2 linked regions of the Rattus norvegicus genome follow. The protein of the gene in region 1 interacts with the protein of each later gene in a pairwise test. Links are inferred from orthologs where the notes say so. Each region holds a gene or a part of one and is shown on either strand. Other genes may lie near its edges.

Region 1 (4,477 bases):
CTTTTTCTTTTTTCTTTTTTTCGGAGCTGGGGACCGAACCCAGGGCCTTATGCTTGCTAGGCAAGCGCTCTACCACTGAGCCAAATCCCCAACCCCGGTGGGTATCTTTCTTTGATCTACATTCTGCTAGCAATTTGGAAATTTTTATACACAAAAAAAAATAATAATTAAAATGTAAACCTAAGATCCAGTCAAAATTTTTTTTACACTGGGCCCCAACAAAAAGGCCCAACTTTGTTCCAGATTTTCATTTATATAGCCATTAACCCAGTGGCTCAAAACTGCTTAATTTTCCATGCAGAAACCATTTCAATACACAGATCTCTTTGGCATATCGTCCCAGGAGATTATTAAGCTAAATCTGGACTTCTTTTCAGGCCACTTTTGCTGTGATGGTCCATTTGCAGACTCTGGCAGCCAAGCAAGGACCATAAGGATCATTTGATGTGAAGTAGGACAGCAGAGAGAGAACGGTCCAAGTATCAAGGAATAAATGAGAGCAAGTAGGGAAGGAAATTTTCCACTTTGCAAAGCTTTTTTATCTTTCTTCTTTCCTCCTCCTCCTCCTCCTCCTCCTCCTCCTCCTCCTCCTCCTCCTCCTCCTCCTCCTCCTCCTCCTCTTCCTCCTCTTCCTTCTCCTCCCGCCTTCTTCTTCTTTCCCCCCTCCCCCTCCCCCTCCTTTTCAAGGGACGGTGGTTTTGAAGAGAGTGATAATGGGAAAGGTCTCACCATTTCGAAGTTCACCACAGGATTCCATACCTAACAATTGTGCCCCAAATAATCATTTCCAGACTGTCTGTAATATTTGCCCGTATCTAGGAATTTTCCATTCACTGTCTTTCATCTGTTAATACAAAAAAAAAAAAAAAACCTCATAAAAGGGTAGAACCGAATCAAGCTCTAAAGTATATTCAGCTGGGCTCTCTCCCAACTGCGAGTCATCTGCCCAACTCAACTTGCCTTAGTTTACTTCAGTTCTACCTCAGCTTGCTTCAGTACATCTCAGTTTAACATCCTTACCTGAGTTTACCTTAGTTAAGTCAGTATAACTCAGTTTACCTCATTTTATCTTGGTAAATGGTAACTCGCTTTAACCTCATCTTTCCTCAGTGTACCTCTGCTTGTGTCCGTTTGTCTCTGCTTAATTAGGTATAATCTCGGTTTGCCTCAGTTTGACTGCGTAATTCAGGTAAACCTCAGCTCGCCTCAGTTTACCTTAGCCTGCCTCTGCTTAATTAGGTTTGATCTCAGTTTGCCTCAGTTTACCTCATCTCATTTCAGTACACCTGTTTAATTCCGCTTGCCTCCGTTTATTTCAACTTTCTTTCGTTTACTTCAGTTTACCTCAGCTTTCTTTATCTCACCTCAGTGTGCTTCAGGCTACTTCCTCTTACCTTAGCTTGCCTCAACTTGACTCGGTTTAACCCCGGCTCGCCTCAGTTTACCTCAGCTTGCCTCCGCCGGGCTTTGAACCAGCCGGCACCTCATTGGCCGCTTCCTCCTCCCAGCCCCGCCCCGCGTTCCGCCTGGTTTCCGTCGCGAAGGACGCGGCGTCGGTTGGTTGTCAAGATGGCTGCGGCGGGGTCGCGGCCGCTACCTCCGCCGTCGCCCCGCGAGGTCGCCTCCCTCGCCGCTGCCATCGCCACAGTCGCCGGGGCCGCTGCGAAGCTAGGACTGCTGCAGCCGAGCCTGCGACGCCCGTGACGCGGGGCCTTGGAGACGCGCGGCCCGGAGCGCCGAGGAGAGGACCAGGAAGGCCGAGCGGCCATGCGGGCGGCACTTAGGTGAAGGATGCTGGCGGGCAGGCCCGGAGCCCAGAGCGCAGGCGCGGGCCTGGGCGCCGGACCCCGGGACGCGCTTGGCGCCCGGGACAGCGGCGGGCGACCGCGACCCGGCGCCTACCTGTATCCTTTCCACGCCCTTCCCCCTCCCCGCTCCGGGAGCACGCACGCAGGGGCATGAAAACTGGCAAGTCATTTTCAGTGCGGATATTTGCTTTAGCAGCTGTCACCCACCCTACCCTACTCCACCCCCGACCTGAAGTTACACTTGGTCGACTTTTGTTTGTGACCTCTTTCCCCGGCTTCGCACACCCTTACTTGGACTTGGCTGTCAGATTTTTGTAGATTTTAAAATACACCGGTCCTGTATTGGATGAGCGAAGATTCGCGTTTTAGAATTACAGCGTTTTTACCCTTTACTTACAGAGACGTAAGTCTTATTCAGGCTCCTTAGAAAGAAAAATTGCCCAGAGGCTAAAATCTTGGGCTGTTCCGTTTTAGTTGTTAGCCGCACACCCCTCCTAGGGCTGCAGAACCCTAGCGTGTTGTGATCATTTTGTCTTCAATTCTGCCCACTCTTGTCAAACAGAGGAAGGGAAGAAAGCAGGGGACCTGAACCTTGATAATCTGGATTATTTCTGATTTTTTCCCTAAGAAATCGTTGAACTCCCATTTGATGTTACTGTTGGTAACATTGTGAAAATGACAATAAGCTTTTTTTTTTTAAGTACATAAAGCAGTTTTTTTTTCTTCCAGAGAACATTATTATATTAGAATTTACCCTTGGTATTCTCAGAAGACTGGCTGGTGGTGAGGATGATGTTTGCTCAACTGTTTTTCTCAGGAAATGGAGTCCCTTCTCTTTCCTCAAACGTGGGTCCCTTCCACCACTACCACCCTCCCTCCACTTCCTTAGCCCCTTAGTCCCACCTCTGCTAGGATATGCTCTTACAGTTTTAACAGCAAATCATCAGTTTTCACCGAGGGTCTCCTCTCCCGCTGACCTTCCTCTGGGTTCTAAGGATGCAGGTATGTTAGGGTTCCATTAATGCCAAAACACTCTGTCCCCAGGGACTCATCCCCAAGCTTCTATCCCTGGGTCTTTCTTCATTCTTCCGGACAGTAGCCTGCAGTAGCAGCTGCTAGCTCTTGTCTTCTTGTCTTGCCTTTTCCTCTTGCTGCTGCCACAAACTGTCTTCTCAGAGTGTGCTCTAGAGTGAATGCTACTGTCTTTTGAATTCAACTCTTCATTTTTGACGTTGTTTTGGTTGGTTAGTTGGTTTGGTTTGAGGGGTGTGTGTGTGTATCCCTGGCTGTCCCAGAACTTGATCTGTAGACCAGGCTGGACTTGAATTCATAGAGATGCTTGCCTCTACTTCTGGAGTGCTGGGATTAAAGGCACTGTATCTTCTTATACACTGAATGAACTCTTACTACCTTGTCCTAATTTGTCTCTAAATCAGGATACAAGGAAATGGCTCGTTGACAAAGCATTGATCTTCTATTATTTTCATTAATGATACCATTTTTAATTTATGTGATAAGAACATTGAACAGAGCAAGTAGGAGTAAGGAGACAAAATTTATAAGTACCGCTGTAGTTAAGTTCTAAGAGACTGAGAGAGTTTTTAAGTGGAGGCAGTAGGAAGAGGTTTGACTAGATCTGGCAAGGAGAATACATTGTATGATAGTTACTTGTGTTGATAACCTAATTGGAGAAAGACTAAATGAGGACATAAATGACCATAGTATTCTTTATTTTGTAATGTTAGCTATATAAAAATTATATTTCTTTACAGTAGATGTTAGGGTGAGTTGTTTTGATAATACATACAAAAATATTAAGCATCTATGTAAAAACTTAACTTCAATACCATTCGTCAGATGCTGGGCAGAAACATTCTTTATGTGTAATAAGCAAGATCATAATATAGTACTATATATGCTATATAGTATATATGCTAATACAGGAACTAGAGTTTATATGTAGTAGGGTTGTCTAGATAATTTAGAAATATATACATGTCAGGACATTACACTTGTAATCTTTCTGTATGTTCTTGGGATAAAATTTAAACATATTGAAGAAAATAGTTCTCATGTGATGCATTGTCCCCTGTCCTTGTCATTTGATCCAAAGTAACTTAAGCTTGTCTTTCCTACAGTGTTCTCCTGAAAGGAGAAAGCTGTATTTTTCTCTACTGATGACTTGTGACTTTGAAAAGCTAACCATCTTCTTGAAGTCTGACCCTAATAAAGCTTTCAACTAGAGAAGAAAAAGATATAGCTAAACTTGGTTCTATACTGTTCAAAACCATATTTCCTCCCCTTTTAACATGTTTACAAATCCTTCAGAAAACACCTTTAAAAACATGTGTGTCTTTGAGTTCATATTGATGTGGTACTGAATTCTAGTTGAAATGAAGGCAAAATGAACTCTAGCCTGTGGAGGAAGAAACTTTATAAAAATGACAAAACTGTTAAAAAACAAGCTCCCTTGGTAAGGCTCAGATAAGAGTTCATATACATTTGATTATTCTGAAATAGATAATAGTTTCTTTATAATATTGACACAAAAATACTATAAGCCCTTGAAATTAACACATTTTGACAAATGTGTTAATCATAATCATAATACCCTAACATTACTGTAAGTATTTGTTTTAAGTCTACATTATCCAAACCAACTTTGACTG
Region 2 (4,240 bases), on another chromosome or scaffold:
ATAAAACATCATGCACACACACAATTTTGTTGTTACTGTTTCAAGACAAGGTTTCTCTGTGCAGTCCTGGATGTCTTGGAACTCTTTCTGTAGTCCAGGCTAGCCTTGAACTCAGAGATCTGCCTGCCTCTGCCCCTAAGCGATGGAATGAAAGGCATGCGCCACCACTGTCTGGCTGCTCCTGGATTTTCAAGTAGATTTATCTTGCACCCCAACTGCAGCTCAGATACTACAAAAAGTCTGAAAACCAATGCCTGGCTACAAATTTTGCCATGCAAGAGAATCTCTATTGCTAAGATTTGATAATTGGGGGTTGGAGAAATGGCTTAGCAGTTAAGAGCACTGCTCATAACTGTCTATAACTCCAGTTCCAGGGGATCAGGCACTCTCACACAGACACAAACGCAGGAAAAACACCAATGCCCATAAGCAGCTAAGGATGTCCTCGAACAACTCCAAATGCTGGGATTAAAACAGAAGATCATCATCTCTCATACCAGAGAAATTCCCACTGGTTGTTCCCCAAGCCTCAAAAAAAGAAATACATTTAACTTTTTACTTAACTATGGCCAGTAAGATTCAAAGAAGCATATCTGGGGTTTTAGTTTGTTTCGTTTCTCCAAGGAGTGACAACCGAAACTACGAATTTTGCTCTGAATTATGCAATTCCAGTTTCTAAAAGATCTGCCTTCTGGGAAGGTGATGCTCCAGTTTTTGGTGCAATACTGATGCAAAGTCCTTTAGGATCAGCTACTAAGGGAAAATTTTTAAAAATCAAGGTAGGCCCAACTATGAGAGTCTGCAAGTTTGAAAACTTCTAAGTTAAAGACAATTAACATTTGACCTCTGCAGCTCAGTGGCTTTATCAATTGCAGAGCACTCGTATTCGCTATATCTCAACATCTCAACTGACTGCCCTAAGCAAAGAAAAAAAGAAATTCAAGGCAAACCAGAGGACCCTCAGGATTTCCTCTTCAGATCCCCAGTGGGATCAGGTCACTCAGTGAGCATGCAACTTTCCAAGGCTCACGGACCTGCAACTCTAGTCAGTGTTTTGGCCCGGGCACTTTATCAGAAAATGTTTACAATTTTATCAAGTGAATTTATAAATATCCTACTGAACTGGGAACTCCTAGCAAACATATCATGTCTTGTGATGTTTCTGGGGAAAAAAAAAAACCTGAATAAATACTTTTTACTCTTCAAAGAAACTAAAAACATTGATAAACGCTGTAAACAAAACATACAGTTACCTCCCGGCATGATGTACACACCTTAATCCCAGCACTGAAGAGGCAGAGGCGATAGGGTCTCTGTGAGTTGAGGCTTATCTATAGAGCCAATTCGAGGACAGAACTAAATAATTTGAGAGATCCTGACTCAAAGGGGTAAAAAAAAAAGATTTAGGCTGAGTTCATAATCCTAGCAGTTAGAAGACTGAGGCAGGAGGATCTCAAATTCAGTCAGTGTAGACTACATAGCAAGATTTCCTTCTCAAAACAGAAAACACAGGGTAGTGTTGAGGGTTCACTAGTAAAATACATGCTCATCATGTTCAAACTCCACCACCACCAAAAAAAAAATCTTTATTAATAATAATGTCACATATTATATGATGTTTATAATAACTACTATAAACATTAGCACCATACCAGGAGCAGGAAAGCACAAAATCTCCTATACGGCTGGACTGTTTAAGGCTAGTATGACCACTTGAACAACATAACCATTTCTTATCTCTAATCCACTTCTGAAAAATCACAGGATGCCCAAGCAGAACTGCGATCGTCTGTGCCGTTATCTTGCCCGTGGGATATTAGTGGATTTACTTCACGAGTCTCTCAATAATCTCATTTTATAGGTGGTGAAACACTCAAGGACTTAGAAAGGATTGAAGAGCAAACGCTCTCCCTCAATGGGACATTTCATGGTGTTTATGTCTCTCGGCAACACTCCCTCTGGTTGAGTTTGTGGCGCCAGCACTAGAACACAGTAAGGATGAACAGCCACAGGCCACAACAACTGGTCCTTCAGAACCGATTTAAATGGCATGGCTCAGACAGCCCTTGTGCAAACAGTGTACAAGGCGGTCCCGGCAGTTTTTACAGGGCAATTAAGTCACCTGGAGACCTGTGCTTTGGAGGTGATAGGTGACCTCCTGGTCCAGACCAACCGGCTACATCTACGGCTGAGTCTTGCACTCCGCACCACAGGTCACTCACTCATCAAGTCCCTAAAGGGATTCTAAGGGTTCTTGGCACCGAGGGGAGCCACTGAAGGCCGGACCAAGAAGGCCACCACGCCCCAGGCTCCTCTGGGACTTCAGGTAGGCTGGACTGCTGCACTAACTTCGACCCCGGAGTCACCTCCTCAAGAGTATTCGTGACGCTGGGAGGAGCTGTGCCCTACGGGAACACCAGAGGACTCAAGGGGATGGGGCTCAAAGGTCTTCTAGAGCGCGATGTCCGCAGTTTCGGGCTCACCTGACGCTCAAGGCCCGCTCGGTGCCCCCTCTCCGACCCCTAGTCTCCTGCTCGCTCGCCCGCTTCAGCCCGCTTCCGGCCAGCCCCCGCCCGATGTCCCCTCAGGCTGAGGGCGAGTCACCGAGAGAAAGCCGAGCAGAACTTTCGAAGAAGGCCTCCGCCAGGTTAGGACCTGGGAGGGGAGGACTGGGGACCGAGCGGGCCACTCACCCTCAGCCGCTCTGTAGGTCAGTCAGTCTCCGCGTCAGCGACTCCCTCCGCACCGTCGCAGCCGAGCCGGCGAGCGCGAGGACCGCAGGGCGGCAAGACGGCAGGACGGCAGGACGTGCGCACGCAGCGAGGGGCGGAGCCATAGGCCACGCCTCCAGACGCGCGGCAGCTAGCAGGAGGCTCCTGGCCAAGCTGACACTGCCTTCCAAGACTGCTTCGGGAGTGGTAACATTAACCCGAGAGGAAGGAAGCGTGTCAGTAAAAGCCAACTGTTTGTTGATCGAGAATCGGGGCTCGGGGCAGGAGAGATGGTTCAGCAGTTAAGAGCACTGACTGCTGGGCTGGAGAGATGGCTCAGTGGTTAAGAGCACTGACTGCTCTTCCAGAGGTTCTGAGTTCAATTCCCAGCAACCACATGGGATACAATGTCCTCTTCTTGTGTGTCTGATAGCTACGGTGTACTCAGATAAAAATAAATAAATCTTTAAAAAGAGAGAGAGAGAATCGGGGCTCAAGCCTGGAATCCTAGCACTCGGGGGAGGAGTGGGGGGACAGGGATGGGACTGAGGCAGGAGAATTCAAGAGCAACAGTGTGAGCATTTATCAAAAAGACAAAAACACAACAGGATTGGGGATGTAACTCATTGGAATACAATTATTAGATCCTTAACACTGCAAAAAGAAAAAAAGAAAAAAGAATGAACGCTTTGCAGTGACATCATTTTCTTGCTTATCCTCTTATATCTGTGCATGTATGTAGGAGCCAAGTTAACCACTTGGCACTTAACACACAAGCCCCTTGACAACTTGGCACATAACACGCGAGCCAGCCCTAGGAAGTTCCAGTACAAACGATCATCTTCACTCAGGTCTCTGTCCACCTCTGCTAACAGTCCCCTGTCTGTCTTCTGTGTGGACCTTGTTTGTGGGGACTAGAGATGTAGCTCGGAGTAAGTAATGCTAAGGATGAGGGGCCAATTCCATTCCCAGCACCTACGTTGGTTGTCTAGCAACTGCCTGTAACTCCAACCTCAGGGGATCTGACGCCCTCTTCTGGCCTCTGCTAGCACAGGCACATACCAACACTCAAGTGCGGCTAATTCAAAAATAAAACAGCTTTCTTCTTTCTTTTTCTTTTCTTCCTCCCTCCCTCCCTCCCTCGCTTCCCCCTCCCCTCCCTTCTTCCTTTAAGAACTCACTTAAGTAGCCTAGGCTGGCCTCTAGCGCAAGGTCCTCCTACATCACAATACCCTATCATCAAGCCCAACTAACAATTCCACTTCTGGGTAGCTATTCCTATATATTTGTATATTCTATATACTTTTATAGTGAAAATTTTACTTTCTTTAAAAACACAGAAAAGTTATGTGAATAGGGTTTTTTGTTTGTTTGTTTGTTTGTTTTTTATATATGAATGCTCTGCTGGACTTACACCCACATGCCAGAGGAGGGCATCAGATCCCCTTATAGATGGTTGTCACCCACCAACCGTATGGGTGCTGGGAATTGAACTCAGGACCTGTGGAAGAGCAGCCAGTGCTCTTAAC

What was found. The genes of interacting proteins can lie anywhere in the genome.
Region 2: the proteins of Cep126 (region 1) and Hmox2 interact in a two-hybrid assay, tested with the Homo sapiens proteins (2 studies listed by BioGRID and IntAct). The link is inferred for Rattus norvegicus from reciprocal best matches to the Homo sapiens genes CEP126 and HMOX2.

Annotation. Positions count from the first base shown.
Region 1 is NC_086026.1:13,549,297-13,553,773, reverse strand, and holds the start of Cep126 (centrosomal protein 126), read left to right. Parts: upstream 1-1,552; 5' UTR 1,553-1,791; coding exon 1,792-1,904; intron 1,905-4,477. UniProt on the Homo sapiens protein: Participates in cytokinesis. Necessary for microtubules and mitotic spindle organization. Involved in primary cilium formation.
Region 2 is NC_086028.1:11,334,813-11,339,052, forward strand, and holds the start of Hmox2 (heme oxygenase 2), read right to left. Parts: upstream 2,801-4,240; 5' UTR 2,694-2,800; exon of another isoform or gene 2,484-2,693; intron 1-2,483.